Linked DNA regions of Oryctolagus cuniculus. The protein of the gene in region 1 purifies or fractionates together with the protein of each later gene. This does not show direct contact. Links are inferred from orthologs where the notes say so. Each region holds a gene or a part of one and is shown on either strand. Other genes may lie near its edges.

What was found. The genes of interacting proteins can lie anywhere in the genome.
Region 2: the proteins of COPA (region 1) and ARCN1 fractionate together in Homo sapiens (co-fractionation; 4 studies listed by BioGRID and IntAct, with this or other methods). This does not show direct contact. The link is inferred for Oryctolagus cuniculus from reciprocal best matches to the Homo sapiens genes COPA and ARCN1.
Region 3: the proteins of COPA (region 1) and COPG2 fractionate together in Homo sapiens (co-fractionation; 4 studies listed by BioGRID and IntAct, with this or other methods). This does not show direct contact. The link is inferred for Oryctolagus cuniculus from reciprocal best matches to the Homo sapiens genes COPA and COPG2.

The regions. Positions count from the first base shown.
Region 1 is NC_091438.1:38,573,849-38,580,627, reverse strand, and holds the start of COPA (coatomer subunit alpha), read right to left. Parts: upstream 3,866-6,779; 5' UTR 3,762-3,865; coding exon 3,722-3,761; intron 1,046-3,721; coding exon 932-1,045; intron 1-931. Other genes in the region: NCSTN (nicastrin), read left to right, coding at 3,989-4,073, 5,268-5,372. UniProt on the Homo sapiens protein: The coatomer is a cytosolic protein complex that binds to dilysine motifs and reversibly associates with Golgi non-clathrin-coated vesicles, which further mediate biosynthetic protein transport from the ER, via the Golgi up to the trans Golgi network.
Region 2 is NC_091432.1:111,632,082-111,638,111, forward strand, and holds part of ARCN1 (coatomer subunit delta), read right to left. Parts: intron 5,223-6,030; coding exon 5,057-5,222; intron 4,237-5,056; coding exon 4,089-4,236; intron 3,432-4,088; coding exon 3,323-3,431; intron 1-3,322. UniProt on the Homo sapiens protein: Component of the coatomer, a cytosolic protein complex that binds to dilysine motifs and reversibly associates with Golgi non-clathrin-coated vesicles, which further mediate biosynthetic protein transport from the ER, via the Golgi up to the trans Golgi network.
Region 3 is NC_091434.1:166,631,197-166,637,226, forward strand, and holds the end of COPG2 (coatomer subunit gamma-2), read right to left. Parts: intron 4,028-6,030; coding exon 3,930-4,027; intron 3,247-3,929; coding exon 3,108-3,246; intron 2,839-3,107; coding exon 2,740-2,838; intron 2,323-2,739; coding exon 2,192-2,322; 3' UTR 1,706-2,191; downstream 1-1,705. Other genes in the region: MEST (mesoderm-specific transcript homolog protein), read left to right, coding at 532-649. UniProt on the Homo sapiens protein: The coatomer is a cytosolic protein complex that binds to dilysine motifs and reversibly associates with Golgi non-clathrin-coated vesicles, which further mediate biosynthetic protein transport from the ER, via the Golgi up to the trans Golgi network.

The sequences.
Region 1 (6,779 bases):
GAGACAAACAGAAAGAGAGATCTTTCATCTGTTGGTTTACTATATGGGTGGCAGGGATCCAAGTACTTGAGCCATCACCTGCTGCCTCCCAGGGCAAGCATTCGCAGAAGCTGCAGTGGAAGCATAGCCAGGACTCAAACCCAGACATTCTGATTTGGGCTGCAGGTGTCTCAAGCAGCATCTTTTTTTTTTTTCTTTTCTTTTTTCTTTCTTTCTTTCTTTTTTTTTTTTTTTTTTTTTTGACAGGCAGAGTGGACAGTGAGAGAGAGAGAGAGACAGAGAGAAAGGTCTTCCTTTTCCATTGGTTCACCCCTCTATGGTCGCTGCGGCCGGCGCACCGCGCTGATCCGAAGCCAGGAGCCAGGTGCTTCTCCTGGTTTCCCATGTGGGTGCAGGGCCCAAGGACTTGGGCCATCCTCCACTGTACTCCTGGGCCACAGCAGAGAGCTGGACTGGAAGAGGAGCAACCGGGACAGAATCTGGTGCCCTGACCAGGACTAGAACCCGGGGTGCCAGCGCCGTAGGCGGAGGATTAGCCTATTGAGCTGCGGCACCAGCCCCTGCACCAAATGCCCACTCTCTTGTATCTCTTAACTCTCTCCTATCTTATTATCAGGGCTGGTGTTGTGGCACAGTGGGCTAAGCTGCTGCCTATGATGCCGGCATCCTATATGGGTGATGATTCATGTCCCTGCTGCTCCACTTCCAATTTAGTTCCCTGCTAATGTGCTGTTGTGGCCATTTGGGGAGTTAGCCAATGGATAGAAAATTTCTTTCTCTCTCTGTCTCTCCCTCCCTCTCTGTAACTCCACCTTTCAAATAAATCTATAAATCCAAAAAAAGGAAGGAAGGAAGGAAGAGAGAGAGGGAGGGAGGGAGGGAAGAAGGAAGGAAGGAAGGAAGGGAGAGAGAAAGAAAGAAATTATCTTACCATCATGTTCATCAAACTTGTCAATGAGGGTGCACATTCGGTAGTCCCATAATTGGATGACCCCATTGTGTAAACTTGTCAGGATCCAGGGTCTTTTGGGGTGAAAACTGAGCCCTGGAATAAAACAGAAAACAATAAAATAAGCTAATAACCCCTATGATGTCACCTTCTGTCAATTCTGATAAGAAAAAGGAAATGCTAAGCTAATCACAGGTCCATACATTCATTTAATATGCCAGTGCTTTTTATTAGATGTTAAACACTGTGAAAATTATAATGTTAGATGTTGGGTTTTTGTTAATATTCCTTCAAATACTGTTGAGTTTTATTCTACGATGCAGTTAAGTTACCTGGAATCAGATGATCTTTTTGAGGCTCATTTTTTTAAGTTTTGTTACAGGGGTCCACAACAGCCTTTAGACTGGGACTAATTTGAAATCATTCCAAAGATAATACTAATCCTTTGGGCTCTGTATGTTACACTGAAACATCAGCTAATCTTTCTATCCCAGTTAGTAGGAACACAAACTATTTCCAGTCCTGCATGAGCGCCATGGATTATTCTGCCTTACTCCCTACCAATTGTTTTTTTTTTTTTTCTTAAGTTTTGGATAATTTTCTAACATACATGTACAGGTCAGCACTCAGAGGCCAGAGGGGAGCTCCTGCAGAGCTCCAGGGCCGCCTCCTCTTCTCTGGTATTCTGCCCAGCAAAGTCCAACCATGCTTGTTTCCAGGAACTCTACACTCTGTCTTCTCAGGAAGAAGACTTCTCACAGAAGTCTTCCTCCTACCTTCACTGCAGCCTGGGAACTCTGTCTAAGCACTAAACTAAAACAGTTATAGGACTCACCTTGTTTACTTCCCTTCTCTCAAGAATCATTTTCCTGCACTGCTTAATGTCCAACATCTGAAATTTTTCACTTTCTACATTTTGTTCAGTTTTGTCGTTACTTAAGGTAAAACATGGTTCTTATCATGACTAGAAATAGAAGTCCCCAGAGGTAACAACTGTTAATGGGTTGGAGGATATTGTTCTGCACTTTAATAAAGTTCTGTATAAGCACAAGCCTTATTATATTATGAGAATGAGTGTCACATTATAATGTTCTGCAAACTTCTTTTCTTACTTATGGTATGGATATCACCACATTTAGCTACATATAAACATAACCTCATTCTTTTTATAGCTGCAAGGAATAAGGGCCTCACAGTTTTAAGTAAGCCTAGTAATAGGCTTTTAAATTCTTTCCCCCAATTCCTGGCTATTAGAAGCACTTATTGAAGATACTTCTACACATAATCTTGTCTATTTACTGTATTATTGAGTTAGGCTGAAGACATTAAAGTGGGATGGCTCAGGAGTAGAGTACATGCATCTAACATTCTGGTAGATATCGTTTAACTGGAAAAAACTACCAATATACAGTCTCATCAAGTTTAGGAAGGTATCCATATTTTGTACACATTGGTTAACACAAGATGTTATGCTGGTTTTTTGTTTTACTAATGCAAAACCAAAAAAGATACTTTTTTTTGCATTTCTTTCATTATGTGGAGGTAGAACAATTTTCATTATTTGTGGAACACTTATTCTTCTAAATTGTCTATTTTCCCCTTAAGTTGCTTGTTTCCTCCCCTTAACAATTGTAGTGACACTCAGTGGACAGTAACCTTCAAATATTCTGGCACCTTTTCCCCCTCATCTACTGCCCAAAAAGAAATTAGGAGAGGAGAAAACTTAAGGATTGTGACAATCCATTCCAATCACCCACGTCCCAGAAATTCACCATTCCCATAAAACTTAGAACCTGCTCAGAATACAGTCTCACACTGACAACGAGCATTAATTACTCACATTTCACAAATGAGGAAATAAATTTGAAGACATTAAGTAAGTCACCCACGGTCATACAGCTTTTTGCTGAGTGTCTCAGGATTCCAAAGCAAGCCCAATTGACTTCAAACACCAAGTTCCTAACTACTTTGCTATGCTGCATCTATCTATTCCAGACACATTTTCTCCAGGTCTCGGTAGACCTCCCGTCCCTGCCTTTCCCAGTTTAACACTCTGAGAGACTGCTAGTGCAACATCATCATGGGGGTGTCTTCCACCACCGTGAGCACAACTCAAGCTCTAGAGTTGCCAAATTAACAAAAATGCAAGAAGCTCAGTTACATTTGAATTTCAGATAAACCACAATACTAAAAAATTATTTGCTCTGTGACATTCAAATGTAACTGGGCATCCTGTATTTCATCTGGCAACCTTACCAAGCTCAGGTTTTCCCGGGGCTACAGACCTCAAATCCCTATTTCCAGGTAGGAAATAAAGCCCAATACAGGCATTGGATGTTAAGATGGTGCAAGCAAAGCCTCCATAAGTCAGGGGGCCAGTACTCCCCTCCGAAAAAGTTACTGACTTGGAGCCAGTGACAGCCTGCATCCCCAGAGCCATTCCGAATAACAGGTCACAGGGCCTTGGAGCAGAAGAAAACTAATAGGGCGCGGAGCCACCGGGAAGCGGAAAGGGTAAGGGAAAGACCAGGGAGCTGGACAAATGGATCCTCCGCGGTGCAGGAAACGCTTTACAGGTAAATCAATGCCCGATGAGACACAAGGAAGGCAGGTCTGGAGAACTGCCCGCTAGGCCGAATCTCCCTCCCTCCGTCTTCCCTGGTTCGTCCAGTGGGCCCCACGCAGCCGGCATGTCCACCCATTCTCTCTTCCCCTATAACAGCGCCGCCTCTGACACCCAGCCTCCACGTCTCCCCTTTTCTTCTTCCCTACCTTTGACCCGCGCGCTCTTGGTCTCGAATTTGGTTAGCATCCTTCAGGCCTCCAGCTCCAGCGCCCGATCCCTGAGCCCTGCCACTCCCCGCTGCCCTTAGGACGCCTCCACGTCAGCGACCCTAGGCAGCAGCTCCCGGAAGCTCCTCAAGACACGAACTTCCGGTTTCTGGAGCTCCGGGGCACCGAGACGGCGCCACCGGTAGCCTAGAGAGGCCACTACCCGAGAGGAGGGGAACCGAGGCTTCCGCTCAGCGGAGAAGCAAGATGGCCACGGATAGGGGCGGCTCTGGACCTGGCCCGGGCAGTACGGGTCTTCTTTTCCTGTTGTCTTTCTGCGTCCTACTGGCAGGTGAGGCCCCCTCGCCCTTGAGCTCCGCCGTGTGAGGGGAACCCTTCGGACCTGTCCAAACGCGAGCGCCGGCGTCTCCCTTTTGGTCCCTTCTGCCCCTCTGTCCCCCCACCCTGTAAATCCTCTTTCTCTTTCGTTCCCACGACAGAAGTTCCCCCTTTGCCTGAACCTGTAGGTCCCTTCTCCACTGCGGCACGTCGTGTCGCTTCATTACCTGCTCCAGGCTCTTCCTGGACTTCCAGCCCGCTTTGTCCGGTGCCTCAATTCCCTACAGCCCAGCCACCCCACTCATAACCAAAATGTGCAGGTGTGAAAGTTTAGCTTCCTTCCCTGCGTTTAGACTTTATTCTAAAGATGAAAACAGCCTCGTTCTGTGGGTGCTGTGCACGCTTAAAAGGTAGATCATTTCTTCTCTGTTGATTACGCCATAAACCCCTGTCTCAGTTTCTTTCATTAGTGAAGGGAGGCTAGGGTAGGGTGTGGGAACTCTTAACTGTTGAGAGTCCGAAGTATTGACTCGAGGAACTTTAAGCCTTTATAGTGTGGGTAAATGTGCTTACTTTCCGATATATGGCTTATTTGTTGGTTGAGCCCTAAAATGAAAACATGGCTGTATATAATCAGGACTGTGCCTTCCCCAGCATTCACATGTGTTTTAAGATCCCTAAAGGAGAAGCTACAGCAGCCTACACTGTGGGCACATGCAAATGACCTACTGATGTTAGATTAACTGACAGGTGTGTGACATAGATGTCTCCTAATTCTGTTCTGACTCCTGGGAAAAAAAAAATCTCATTTTTTTTCATTATTGTAATCTGTACTCTTAGACCAGCACCCATGTAATATGCATACAGGATAGAAAAGTGGAAGGGTGCCCACACATACAACCAGAAGCTGGCACATCACAGGGTAAATACCCGTCCTTTGACAAATCAAGTTTTCTCTCTTTTAGCTTCACCAGTACTTCCTCTACACGGAATATGTTGTAATCTTCTGAAGCAGTTAGCCGGATGCTTGGTAGAGCATTTATGTGCTCCAACAGGGTGCCCAAGAAGTGAGAGTGGATGCTAGTTTTGTGTTTCAAAGTACGACATTGAATGATTTACCCATTTCATACATACATCAAGAATATGACATGGTAGAAGCTAGTACCAGTGTCTCTCAATTTCTTTTAACACTTTGTCTTCTCATCAGGTTTGTGTGGGGGAAACTCAGTGGAGAGGAAGATCTACATCCCCTTAAATAAAACAGCTCCCTGTGTCCGTCTGCTCAATGCCACTCATCAGATTGGCTGCCAGTGTGAGTTGAGTTGGGGTTTGTGTTTGTGGCCATTGGTGTTTCAGTCTGTGCCCTGCTTAGGAGTCTAAGCACTCAAATTAGATGTGAGTAGAAGATAATAATAAAGAAATATCCGTCAAACCAGGCAAGATAATTAACAAACAGTAAGTTTTAAGAAAATTCTGTATACCAAACATTTTAGATATGTACTTCAACCAACCCACCATGAGAACCTGAGCACCATTTTGCAAATTCTGAAACCCAGACTTAAAGAAGTTCAGTAATTGTTCCAAGGTTATTCTGGAGTAAAATCAGGATTTGAACCCTGGCATCCCAAGTTCTAAGCCAAGACTCTTTAACTACCCTACTATACTATTTTCCAAGGAGAAAGAAGTCTTATATTCCATGAAGTCTAGTCATCAGCTGCACTCTGACATCTTTCTGGGACCAAAATGGGCTTTTTTTTTAAGCAGCCCTTTTTTTAAAGATTTTATTTAATTATTTGAGAGGTAGAGTTACAGACAGTAAGAGACAGAAAGGTCCTCTCTCCACTGGTTCACCCCTCAAATGGCCATAAATCGTCGGAGCTACACCAATCTGAAGCCAGGAGCTTCTTCCAGGTCTCCCACGGGGGTCCAGGGGCCAATGGACTTGGGCCATCCTCCACTGCTTTCCTTGGTCATAGCAGGGAGCTGGATGGGAAAGAGGAGCAGCTGGGACTAGAACCGGCACACTATGGAATGCCAGCGCCACAGGCAGAGGATTAACCTGCGCCACAGTGCCGGCCCCCAAAATGGGCTTCTTAGAAATAGTAAACTAGGGGCCGGCATTGTGGCACAGCATGTTATGCTGCGGCTTGCAATTCCAGCATCCCACATTTGAGTGCTGGTTCCAAGCTGCTCTACTTCCAATCCAGCTCCCTGTTACTGTGCCTAAGAAGGCAGCAGGTGATGGCTAAAGTACTGGGAGTCCCAGCCACCCATGTGGGAGACCAGGATGGAGTTCCTGGCTCCTGGCTTTGTCCTGGTCTAGCCCTGGCTGTTGCAGGCATTTGGGGGAGTGAACCAGTGGAAGGAAGATCCATCTCTCTCTGCCTTTCAGGTAAATAAGTATATCTTTAAAAAAAAAAAAAAAAAAAAAAAAAAAAGAAAAGAAAATGTCTGGAATGGTTGGCAGGTATCAGGAATTCGATAAAAAAAAAAAAAAGCAATGAACTATTTGAAGAATAAGCATTGAAAATGAAGTATTCAAGTTTATCTTGTGCTTTGTAAATGTGTTCCAAAATAGATTGCCATGACACTGTGATTCTAAAACAACTATCAGAATCACAGTGAGGAAAAAGTTATGATCTGAAGACCAAATCCCAGTTTTTCTGTTGCTTAACTTGCTGTTGTCATATTTTGTTCTTTCATGAACAGTAGAGAGTAG
Region 2 (6,030 bases), on another chromosome or scaffold:
TTCTTCTGATCCAGCTCTCTGCTATGGCCTAGGAAAGAGAAGATGGCACAAGTACTTGGGCCCCTGCCCTCATGTGAGAGACCCGGAGGAAGCTGTTGGCTCCTGGCTTGGGGTGGCTCAGCTCCGGCCGTTGCGGCCATTTGGGGAATGAGCCAGTGGATGGAAGACCTTTCTCTCTGTCTCTCCCTCCCTCTGTCTGTAACTCTACCTCTCAAATAAATAAAATCTTAAAAAAAAAAAAAAAAAAAGGAAAACTAGTAATAAAGCACATTTTTAAAAACAGAAGTAACAGTGACTAAAACCAGATCTGACAACATAAAGCCTTGAATTATTAAAAAGGGAAGAAAGGGGCAGACATCTTGTACAGCAGGTCAAGCCACTGCTTGGGATACACACATCTCATGAAGTTCTTGGGATCCAGTCTCAGATACTCTGCTTCAATCCAGTCTCCTTCTATTACCCCTGGGAGACAGCAGAAGATGGCGCAAGTACTTGGGCCCCTGCCATTCATGTGGGAGACCCGGATGGAGTTGTTGGTTCCTGGCTTGGGCCTGGCCCAGCTGTGGCTATTGCGGGCATTTGGGGAGTGAACCTATAGATGGAAGGTCTGTCTCTCACTCTTTCTCAGTCACTCTGCTTTCAGAGTAATTATTTTTGAAAGTAATTTAAGGGTCCAGCGTTGTGGCATGGTGGGGTAAGTCACTGCTTACAATACCAGCGTCCTTTATCACAGTGCCAGTTTGAGTCCTGGCTACTCTGCTTCCAATCCAATACCATGCTAATGCACCTGGGAAGATAGTGGAAGATGACCCAGGTACCTGGCCTTCTGCCAGCTCACAAGGGAGATCTGGAAGAGTTCCAGGTTCCTGGCTTCCTTTGTGGCCATCTGGGAGTGAACCAGTGGATGGAAATCTCTTTCTCTGTTTTTTCCTCTCTGTCACTCTGCTTTTCAAATAATGAAATCTTTCATTTTTTAATTTTTATAGAGAGGGAGGGACATAGAGAGATATTCTCTATCTGCTAGTTCACTTCCCAAATGACCACAATGGTTGAGGCTCAGCCAGGCCAAAACCAGGAACCAGAAGCTTCTTCTGGATCTGTCACGTGGGCGGGGCCAAGGACACGGGCCATCCTACACTGCTCTCCCAGGCCACTAGCAGGGAGCTAGATTGGAACTGGAGCAGCTGGGATTCAAACTGGTGCCTGTACAGGATGCTGGCACTGCAGATGGCATCTTAACCCCCTGCGCCACAGTGCATGCCCTCAAATAATCAAATCCCGTTTTAAAAAAATATTTTATGTATTTATTTATTTTTAAAGACTTATTCATTTGAAAGGTAGAGTTAAAAAGAGGCAGAGGCAGAGAGATAGAGAAGTCTTCCATCCACTGGTTTACTCCCCAAATGGCTGCAATGGTTGGAGCCAGCTTCTTCCGGGTCTCCCATGCAGGTACAGGGGCCCAAGCACTTGGGCCATCCTCCACTGCTTTCCCAGGCCATAGCAGAGAGCTGGATCAGAAGTGGAGCAGCTGGGTCTCGAACCCATGCCCATACGGGATGCTGGCAGTGCAGGCAGTGGCTTTACCCACTATGCCACGGTGCTGACCCTTTATTTATTTATTTGCTAGGCAGAGTTACATAGAGAGAGAGGAAGAGACAGAGAGAATGGTTTTCCATCCACTGGTTTACTCCCTAAATGGCCACCAACAGCCAAAGCTGAGGTGACCCAAAGCCAGAAGCCAGGTGCTTCTTCCAGGTCTCCCACACGGGTTCAGGGGCCCACACACCTGGGCTATCGTATACTGCTTCCCCAGGCAATAGTAGAGAGCTGATTCGGAAAAGGAGCATCTGGACTCAAACTGATGCCCATATGGGATGTCGGTGCCATAGGTAAAGGCTTAGCCTACTATGCCACAGCACCGGCACCAAATAATTAAATCTTAAAAAAAAACTTCTTAAATTTTAAGGGAACCGGCCTGTGCCATGGCTCAATAGGCTAATCCTCCGCCTGCGGCACTGGCACACCGGGTTCTAGTCCTGGTTGGGGCGCCAGATTCTGTCCCGGTTGCCCCTCTTCCAGGCCAGCTCTCTGCTGTGGCCCGGGAGTGGAGTGGAGGATGGCCCAAGTCCTTGGGCCCTGCACTTGCATGGGAGACCAGGAGAAGCACCTGGCTCCTGGCTTTGGATCAGCGCTGTGCGCTGTCTGCAGTGCACCGTCCACAGCGGCCACTGGAGGGTGAACCAATGGCAAAGGAAGACCTTTCTCTCTGTCTCTCTCTCTCACTGTCCACTCTGCCTTTCACCAAAAAAATTTCAAGGGAACCAAACTACAAATTAAATTATTACCCTTTTTGGTCCTGCAACATAATTTTTTTCTGCAGAGCAATGTGATAGTAAAGGTGCACTAAGAGTACACTTGCAGGTACCCACAACTGCTCAATCTTGTGGGGGCTGGGAGATAATGAGTGGAGCTGGGAACTCACTGATGAACAGTGTACACTTACTGGAAACAGTACTGAGCAGATAAACCCAAGACAGGGAGATTCCCTGTGATCCTAGACAGCAGGCCAGTTACGTGTACAACAGAACTTACGGGCACTACATTTTTTAGGATGATAGACATTTTTGTTAGCATGATTGTACTGATGGTTTTACAGATCTATGTATGTCAATACTTACCAAGATACAATTTGTGTCATTTACTGTATGTCAATTATACTTCAATAAAGCTGTTAGGAAATTTACTGAAACAAATGTAAATATCTTGTTCCCATAAGAATCAACAGTTCCCTTAACCACATACACTCATCTTTAGTGAAAGTTTACAGAATAACTAAAAAGGGAAATTCAATCTAACAGACTTCATTTCTCTGAAAGTTGCTCAACAAAATAGAGCACGTTTGACTGACAAGTGGCTCCTCCTTCTGGACATCTTCATTACTACACAAACATGCTGAGGAGCAAAATCTGAAAACAGAGATGCAGAACTTACAATAGGCTTTTTGGTTTGGCTTGAAAGTCAATAAAAACTTGGCCTTTCCAAAGTGTACAGCCCAGTGCATTGTGACTAGGGTGTGCAGTCTTGCAGACATTATCAAAATCAAGTCATAAAACATTTCCATCATCCCTGCGTCCTGTGGCAATCAAGGACCTTCCTCTCTACCACCTGACTTCTGTTAGTCATAGGGAGAGAATCACATAGTGGGTAGCCTTTTGCGTCTGCCTTCTTTCACAATTGGCATTTTTAAGAGGCAAAAGGAGTTTCAAAACCAGTTCTGTAAGCCCACTGTAGGGAACACAACTACACTGAAGACACCACTTACGGAAGTGGGATGGTGATAACCACGTCATTCAGTTCTAAATTATCTTCTTGTAGTTCATATTCTATATTGACATCACAGCCACTTCCACTTTCTGAAGGCCAGCAATTAACTGAGGAGAAAAGCAAAGCCATCATTCCATAATTATTACAAAGAGTATAGAAAAGAAAGCAAATGAAATCTTATCGACAGGCTCACATCTAAAAAATTTTAATGTAAATTATATTTAAAACAAGTTTTAAAATTAAAAATTAGAGACTATGATTAAACACCAAATCCATTTTCAAAATCCTTCAAGGCTTCCATGGCCCACAATCTAAACTTAAAATAGGGTACTGAATTTCATCATTTATTTTCAAAGTCAGAATTACAGAGAGAGGGAGAGATATCTTCCAATCTCTGGTTCACTTCCCTGATGGCTGCAATGGCCAGCACTGAGCCAGGCTGAAGCCAGGAGCTCTCCCACATGGGTGGCAGGGGCCCAAACCCTTAGGTCATATCCCAGGCCATTAGCAGGGAGTTGGGTTGATGGAAGTAGAGCAGCTGGGATATGAACCATACGGGATGCTGGTGACACGGATGGCGGCTTTACCTGCTATGCCACAATGCCTGCCCCTACCTAATGAGATCCCAATTCTTTTGATTTTGATAAAAGATCATTTTGTCAAAAAGAACTTCACTATGGCAATGAAGATAAGAGGGTATAAGCCAGAGCTTTTTTTAGATCTCAATGCAGAGTAGCTTAGTCAAACAGGCCAGAGGCACTTACTTGTCAGTGGAATAAAAGATTCTTCTGTGGTTTGTAGTCTCCACTTTAGCACCCCTACATCACTGTTGACTGGAAATGACTTCTCTGGATTCTTCAAGCCAATCAGAGACTCTGCAGTGAAAAGTTTTTTATCCACATTTGGATGGGTCTGGAATGACAAGGCAAACTGAGGTTCAGACACAGTAGACAGGAAACAAACTCTGGGGACAGCAGTTAAAATGCTGGTTGGGGGGACCAGCGCTGTGGCGCAGCAGGTTAAGGCCCTGGCCTGAAGCACCGGCATCCCATATGGGCACTGGTTGGAGACCTGGCTGCTCCGCTTCCAATCCAGCTCTCTGCTATGGCCTGGGAAAGCAGCAGAGGATGGCCCAGGTTTTTGGACCCCTATACCCTCATGGGAGACCGAGAGGAGGCATCTGGCTCCTGGCTTCGGATCAGCACAGCTCTGGATATTGCGGCCATTTGGGGAGTGGAGTGGACCAGTGGATGGAGGACCTCTCTCTTTCTTCCTCTCTTCTCTCTGTGTAACTCTTTCAAATAAATAAATAAATCTTTAAAAAAAAAAAGAAGAAGAAGAATCAGGCACACTGAAATGGGATACAGACATCCCAAGTGATGGTTTAATTTGCTGCACCACAGCACCTATTCCAACTTTTAATCTTAAATTTATTAATTTATTTGAAAGGCAGGGTGAGAGAGAGAAGGGCTGAGAGAGGAAGAGGGAGAGGGAGAGGACGGGGACAAGGCAGAGAGATCGTCTATCCACTAATTCACTCCCCCAGAGGCTGAGATGGCCAGGGTTGGGCCAGGCTTCATCTGAGTCTCCTAAGTGGGTGGCAGAATGGCACTAGTTACATCACACAAATAATTTTATATTTATTTGGTAAATATAAGGAATGCTAGTTGAGACTGTGCTAGGTCTTTCATTAGCTAAGTCTTAATACTCTCAACCAGAAGACTCCACACACCTGCAGTTGTACCCCTCTCTTATCTTCGTTTTCTACATGAAGACGAATTCGGCCAAATTTGTCATCTGAGATCCTAAGCATGATCATTCCATGCAACTCCATATTCTGTAATCCTCCATCTCGTCCACAGGTTAGTGTGATCTTTTCTTCAATCTTCATATGTACACTATAAAGACAAAGTGATAAATTTGTTCAGAAAGGTAGAAGTCACAACAAACTCCCTTTTTTCAAGGATTAACAGTCAATAGCCATCAAAAAAAATTTTTTATTTTTTTATTTTTTTTATTTTTGACAGGCAGAGTGGACAGTGAGAGAGAGACAGAGAGAGAAAGGTCTTCCTTTTGCCGTTGGTTCACCCTCCAATGGCCGCCGCTGCAGCCGGCGCACCGCGCTGATCCGATGGCAGGAGCCAGGATCCAGGTGCTTTTCCTGGTCTCCCATGGGGTGCAGGGCCCAAGCACCTGGGCCATCCTCCACTGCACTCCCTGGCCATAGCAGAGAGCTGGCCTGGAAGAGGGGCAACCGGGACAGAATCCGGCGCCCCAACCGGGACTAGAACCCGGTGTGCCGGCGCCGCAAGGTGGAGGATTAGCCTATTGAGCCACAGCGCCGGCTCAAAAAATTTTTTTTTTAATTTGGAAGGCAGAGACAGATGGAGAGTGATCTTCCATTTGCTGGTTCATTCACCAAATGCCTGCAATAGCAAGGGCTGGGCCAGGCCAAAGCAAAGAGCTACAACTCCATCCGGGTCTCCAACATGGATGGCAGGGACTCAACCACTTGAGTCGTCATTTACTGCCTCCCAGGGCGTGTAACAGCAGAAAGCTGGATGGAAAGTGGGTTAGCTGGGACTCAAACCAAGCACTGTAACATGAGATGCAGGAATCCCAAATGGCAACCCAACTGCTGCACCACACATGTATCAGAATTTTAAAACATTTTTTTGGTTATGAATTTCAGGGGCATGTGGAGGG
Region 3 (6,030 bases), on another chromosome or scaffold:
CGTGTGAACCAGAGAGCGACAGTGGCTGTATCTTAAGAAATGCTGTAGCCTGAGCGACGCACGCTGCAGGAGCTGGAGATGGGCGCTCTGTGGAAGGGCGCCTTCTCGCCGGCTCTTACTCCGTAGGGAGTTACTCAGAACGCGCGGCAGTGTGAAATCTCCACTGTATCGCATAAGAATCTCCCCTGCCTTCCGATGGCTGCGTGGACACAACGCGGCAGTAAATGGCTCACGTGTATTTTTAAACCAGATACCCTCTTCTCATCTCCTGGAATTAATAGGAAGGTCCTTTGCTTTCTTGGCTTGGGCACTGACTTGCTGAGGGGATCTGCTTGTCTGATGCGTCCCGCTTTTCTGAGGCGCGGGATGTCATCCTGCTTTGGCCATTGTCGCGGAAGTGTTGTATTTTCAACGTGCTGTTGGTTCTTTGCAGTGCGGTGTGTCTGCAAGGGCGTTTCTACTGGGGCTTCCCACTGGCTCCCCCCCACCCCCCAGCCTTCCGTTCACCTACCTGCTGTTCTCTTCCACTAGGAAAACGCTGCCGAGGTCCACAGTGTCGATTCTGGATGACCACATTAGCCACTACCCACAGCTAGAGGACCCCATGGGCTTCTTGAATGCATACATGGGCTTCATCAACTCCTTCTGAGCTGGAAAGCGTAGCCTCCCTGTCTGACCTCCCCCGAGTCCTATCTGTGTGTGTTCCACTTAGGAGGAGATGCCCAAAAGAGGTCCTGGCCACCCACTGTCCCCTCACAGAAGTCACTCCCCTCACACTGGTGGGCAGTGTACGGGAAGAGGCCAGCAGAGGCGCTGAGTTGACGTAGCACTGTCCTCCTCCCATCCCTCTGATGGCATCTGACCATGTCTGACTGCCGCTGTCTGTGCGTTCTTAGGAAATTCTGACGGGCACTACCAGTGGTGCACAGGGCACACAACCTTCTGCACAGGAGACACTTGTGGGAATTTGCTGAAATACCCAGAAGTGCCCTCCTCTCGCCCAGTCTCTTTGAATCCTCTAGCAAAGGATGGGGAGGGGCCTGCGTACGTCTTCTGGGATGCCTTTAAGGACACGTGCTTTTTCATAGTTTTCTGTCCCCCTTGTTGTAACGTTAGACTTAGTTTCATCAGCTACTTCTACTTATAGACACTTAGTTGACGTAGGTATTGGTTTACATAACACAGGATTCGCAGTGTGCTTCAGGACTGACTGACCTGTCCCTGATCCAGCTAACCAGCAGACCCTCACTCTGCCAGAGTAACGAGCCTTCTGAAACATGCTCAGTTTTTGAATACCCAAACGATTTACAGAATTTCTGAAAATCGTAGGACATTAAGGACCAAGTCCATCTGTGGCAGAGATGTGCTGTTATTAGCTGGGAAGACCACTCTAACAGCACACAACAGTCTGCCTCCTCAGAGCTCAGTGCTTGGAAGCATGGCCCTCCTGAGCCAAAGCGGAGGGGAGGGGCTGGTGTACAGTCCAAGTGACCCTGTGGAGCGTGCACTGAGTCTCGTGATGACTGCTTAACGTCCCGGTGGCTTTCTCACAGCTCAGCAACGCTGGGCGCTCTCAGCAATGCACGAGAGTTCCAGGAACTTTAGAACAAATTCTGACAGACCTATGAGCAAATGGTGCTGAATACTATTTTTTTTTTTAAAGCCACACTTTCATTGTCTAAGTCAAAGCAGGATTATTAAGTGATTATTTTAAATTCATTTTTTATTAGCAACTTCAAGTATAACAACTTTGAAACTGGAATAAGTGTTTATTTTCTATTAATAAAAATGAATTGTGACAAAAGTGGACTCTGGCTTCCCCTCCCCCCCTCTCGCCACCCCTCGGGGATAAAATTTTCCAACATTGCCAGGAGCTTTCAGACACACGTTAAAAGAAAATAATATAATGAAGTTAAGCAGCCAAAGGACAGAATAGTATTTGATTTTCAAGCTCACCCAATGCTGCACTGTCATACCAAAGCTGTCATATCAAGTGAAGAAAAAGAAAAAGGAAATAAACAGAATCCATGCATAAGGACAGATTTTGCTTGATCTGCTGGCTCGGGGCTGAATGTTTAATTTGCTTCTCCAAAGTCATTACCCTTTGAAGGGGTGATTCTGGGAACTTCATGCCAGTAGCCTAAAACCCACCTACAGCGAAGTGTCCATTAACTTCTTGCCCAGGAAGATCTCATCCAACAGAAGCCAAGATAACATCTACAGGTGTTCTTTCTTGGCTTCTGACAGTCACCTGCATGGTTACTCCATCTGCTAAGGCGAGCCTGGACCTCACCAATAAATCATAGCCACCTCTGTATATACCTGAAAGAAAAAAATTGAAAACCATATTATTGCAAAACAAGCTCTGAATGACGCGACTGATTATGCCCTGCTTGGATCTCCTTTCTATTATTTTAGTTGAGCTTTTCTAGTGATTTGTGGGAACTGAATCCTACATATAAATTTAAAATTTATTTTTTATATTCCCATGAGACCAGATTCATAGAAGGTACTCAACAACAGTGGGGTGGGGTGAGATTAGTATCTGTAGGACAGGCCAAATGTACAACCTAAAAAAATAAGAATAGCATGCAAGCCAAGTGTTCATTTTGACTGAGCTTCAAATTGCTACTCGTTAATGGGATGAAAGGATGACGGCAGGACGTGGGAGCCCTACCTACAACCTGTTCTGCTGAATTTTCCAACAAAAACAGATGGGAAGTCCAGTGGAACTCTTACCTGCCAGATAGAGCGAGTGGGAATTCTTGTTCTCTGGGACTTTATCTGACCTCTCACACGGCTGCATGCCCAGAAAGGTGATGATGTTGTTGACGGCTTCTGTGTGGAGAAGATTCATGCAGCAGCATTAGACAAGGTGGGGGCCCACCTCTGCACCAGTGTATGCTGGGAGCTCAGGGGGCGGGGTTGTGATTTGTGGAGAGAGGCTACAGGACGGTAAGATGGCTGGACTCGGACGATGAGGACCTTCTAAGTAAATGATTTATCAAGCCCTTAGAGACATGAGAGTTCTTGTTTTCTTTAACAGATAGCCTTGTAGGTTTTAACACTGCTATTATGTAACCCCTCGTTAGCAAAACCCTTCTCACCTTCAAGGGTTTTGGTAGAACTGAGGGCAAAGGTCTCCTCTTTCTCAAAGGTATCTCCCACTTCTTCCCAGGCAGCAGCGAAGTTAGGCTTCAGTACCTTCTGAATGTGGTCAGACACAGTCACTTCCAGATCTTCCAGCTGGCGGGCAAGCAGCAGGGGTCAAACAAAAGTGCTTTCCGCACAAACAGAAGTGGAAGGGACTAATCCCTCATCGTTCTGTGCTAACATCCCTGCAGAAACCTATGAAAAATTCCATGCCCACAATACTTTGCGTAGTCTGGATAAATGCACTGCCACAGGCCTTAGCAAAGGAAAGCAAGAAAACAGGACATCTGACACGAGCCAAATTCAGATCAACATCTGCAGGCCTGAGGTACGAGGCAGTGAGGCTGCCCCACGTGACCGCCCTGCACCTCTTGAACTCTGCACCCAGCACAGGGTGGCACTTCTCGGGCAGCTGCTGCCTCCATTCTGTGGAGGGTTCTCAGGTCACGATCTGGCTACTTAGCTTGTTTGCTGGAATAGCAACAAAATCAAAAACCATTCTGAATAAAGCCTGTTTCGTATATTATAATTGCATGAACATCATGTAATTATTTTCATCTCTTAATTATCCCATCATAAAGGAAAAGGAGCGTTTTAGTTATCCAGTGGTCAATCTCCATTCTCCTTGGCATCCGTCACGGGATTCAGTGAGGTCCTCCTTAACTGTAATCTGTGCGGGACCAGAAACCTCACGTCAGACGTCCCTAGTCAAATGCTGTCGGAGCAGCAGTGCCTGATGCTGCAAAGGTCAGACCGTGTCTGCAGGGGAGACTCACCACATACTCATCGTCATACCCATCCTCATCTGGAACCCCAGTGTTAGGGTCACAGTCCCGGACGGTGAACCTCATGGTACAGCTAAAGGTGCCTGCAACTGAGAGAGAGCGTAGGCAAGCCTATGTCAGTTCTGCGGAAGCAGATCTGCACCCCGCGCCGTGTTCCACGTTTTCAAGTTAAACATGTGCGTGACCTGTTTTCTAGGGCAAGATCGCTCAAAGACAGTCTGCTAATGGGGCAGAAAAGTGGTCCCAACAGGTATGATTTTAAAGTCTGTTCTGCATTGTGGGTTAGAATAGTACAGAAAAGCTGTCATGGCCAAACTCGATTTTGTATTTGTATGAAGAAAGCAGGGTTAAACATCCAGGGGCTTTTTGCCTGCCTGTCAAAGGGTCTATATGTTGAAAAATAAGTACAGTAAAAAACCACCAGGTAGAGAGCCTACAGATTGTCAAATTACCACTGGCCAAGTACATCAATGTCAACAGTAATGCTATCTTTGGACTGTGGACTGACAGTGGGGCCACAGATCGCCAGAATGGACTTGGCTTTAAGTCAACTTTTAATGTACAATGAATAAGTTAATAATGAAGTCCGAGTGTTGGTAAAGCCAGTGTCTGAAGGCAGAAAAGCCAGTAGGTACCCGTATGTTCTGAGATGACTGGCAGAGGTGACAGGAAACAGTGGGGGTTACATTTTTGGAAAGCGAAGTCTTGAAAATAGGATTTTCTGAGCTGCTTGAAGGAGTGCATTTTGCAAGCATGGATGAAGAAAAGGCATTTAGGATCTAATCCCTCCATCCATGGTCTAAAGAACTTACACAAAAATGCGAACTTGGGAAGCTGGAAAGTTATCTGGGGACAGGCAAGGAGAGGAGACTAGAACCATGGAGACAGCGTATGATAACAAGGGGTCTCCAAGAAGCACGTGGGAAATGTATGTTATGAACAATCTGGATTTCAGACTGTCTTCACAAAACTAAATGTATCTTAATTTCACTTTTCCTTGGACTTTCTGAAGACCCTTTTGTATATGTCAGGTTGGACAGTCGGACTTTAAACCGTGGAATTTTAACTTTAAACTCCACCCACCCACCCATCCAACTGCAGTGTCAGCACACGCTGACACTATGTAAAGGTGGAAAGTAATGTGTCAGACACTTCAGTCATCTTTCTATCTACCTCAGACCCGACTGTCAAGGAGTTGAAGAGTAGGGTTTGTGTGTATGGGGGTGGGGGGGGGGGAGTGTGCACTCACACAGGCTGCCCATATATCTATTTGACATTACAATTTAATGCCACAGATTCTAGGATGTAAGTTTTAGTATAGTGCTGTGTACAGCTGCAGGATGAAGAGCCTGGGAAAACTATTAAAAAGTTGTGAAAGGATACAACAGTTTAATTGGATCTTAAAAAATGCAGCAGATCTTTGGCAAGCAGAGGAAGGTACAGGAGTAGAAAAGAGAAGTGGCTAGGAAGTGCACGAGTGGTTGGAAATACCACGAGGATGTTAAGGCAAAAGTGCTGCTGAGAACAAACTGCAAAGTACTCTGATTCCAATGATTTTCCAAGGGGGTCTGGTGAGCTGAAGCAGTGAAGAGACAGAGGTGAGCTAAGGAAGATACTGCCCAATTCACACTCTGGTGGGAAGACTGCAGAACGGGTGAGAATTCAGAAGACCATGTTGAAAACAGATGAGAGTAGTAGGTTAACCCAAAGAGGAAGAGTGTATCAAGACTGTAGAATTATTTCTGTGTGGTAAGGGGGCAGAAGAAACAATGTTTAAATTAAGGTAGGATTTTCTTTAGCGGAAAAGGGAAAAAGATAAGTGGAATTTAATACAAAATTAGACCAGGTCACTGAAGTGTTAAAAAGGTGAAAGAGACATGGCAGGGAGGAAGGTCATGGTCACGTAAGGGTGACGAATCGGGACAGACACTGAGAAATAAGCTCTGTGACCAGCATGGTTCAGGTTAAGGAGTGGCAAGAGAAATGGGAGAAAATCAGGATGAATGGTAGATCAAAGACTAAGTAAGACCGAAGACACCAACATTATGTACATGATACAGAGAAATGGATGAGGATTAGGTAGAATGGTGTT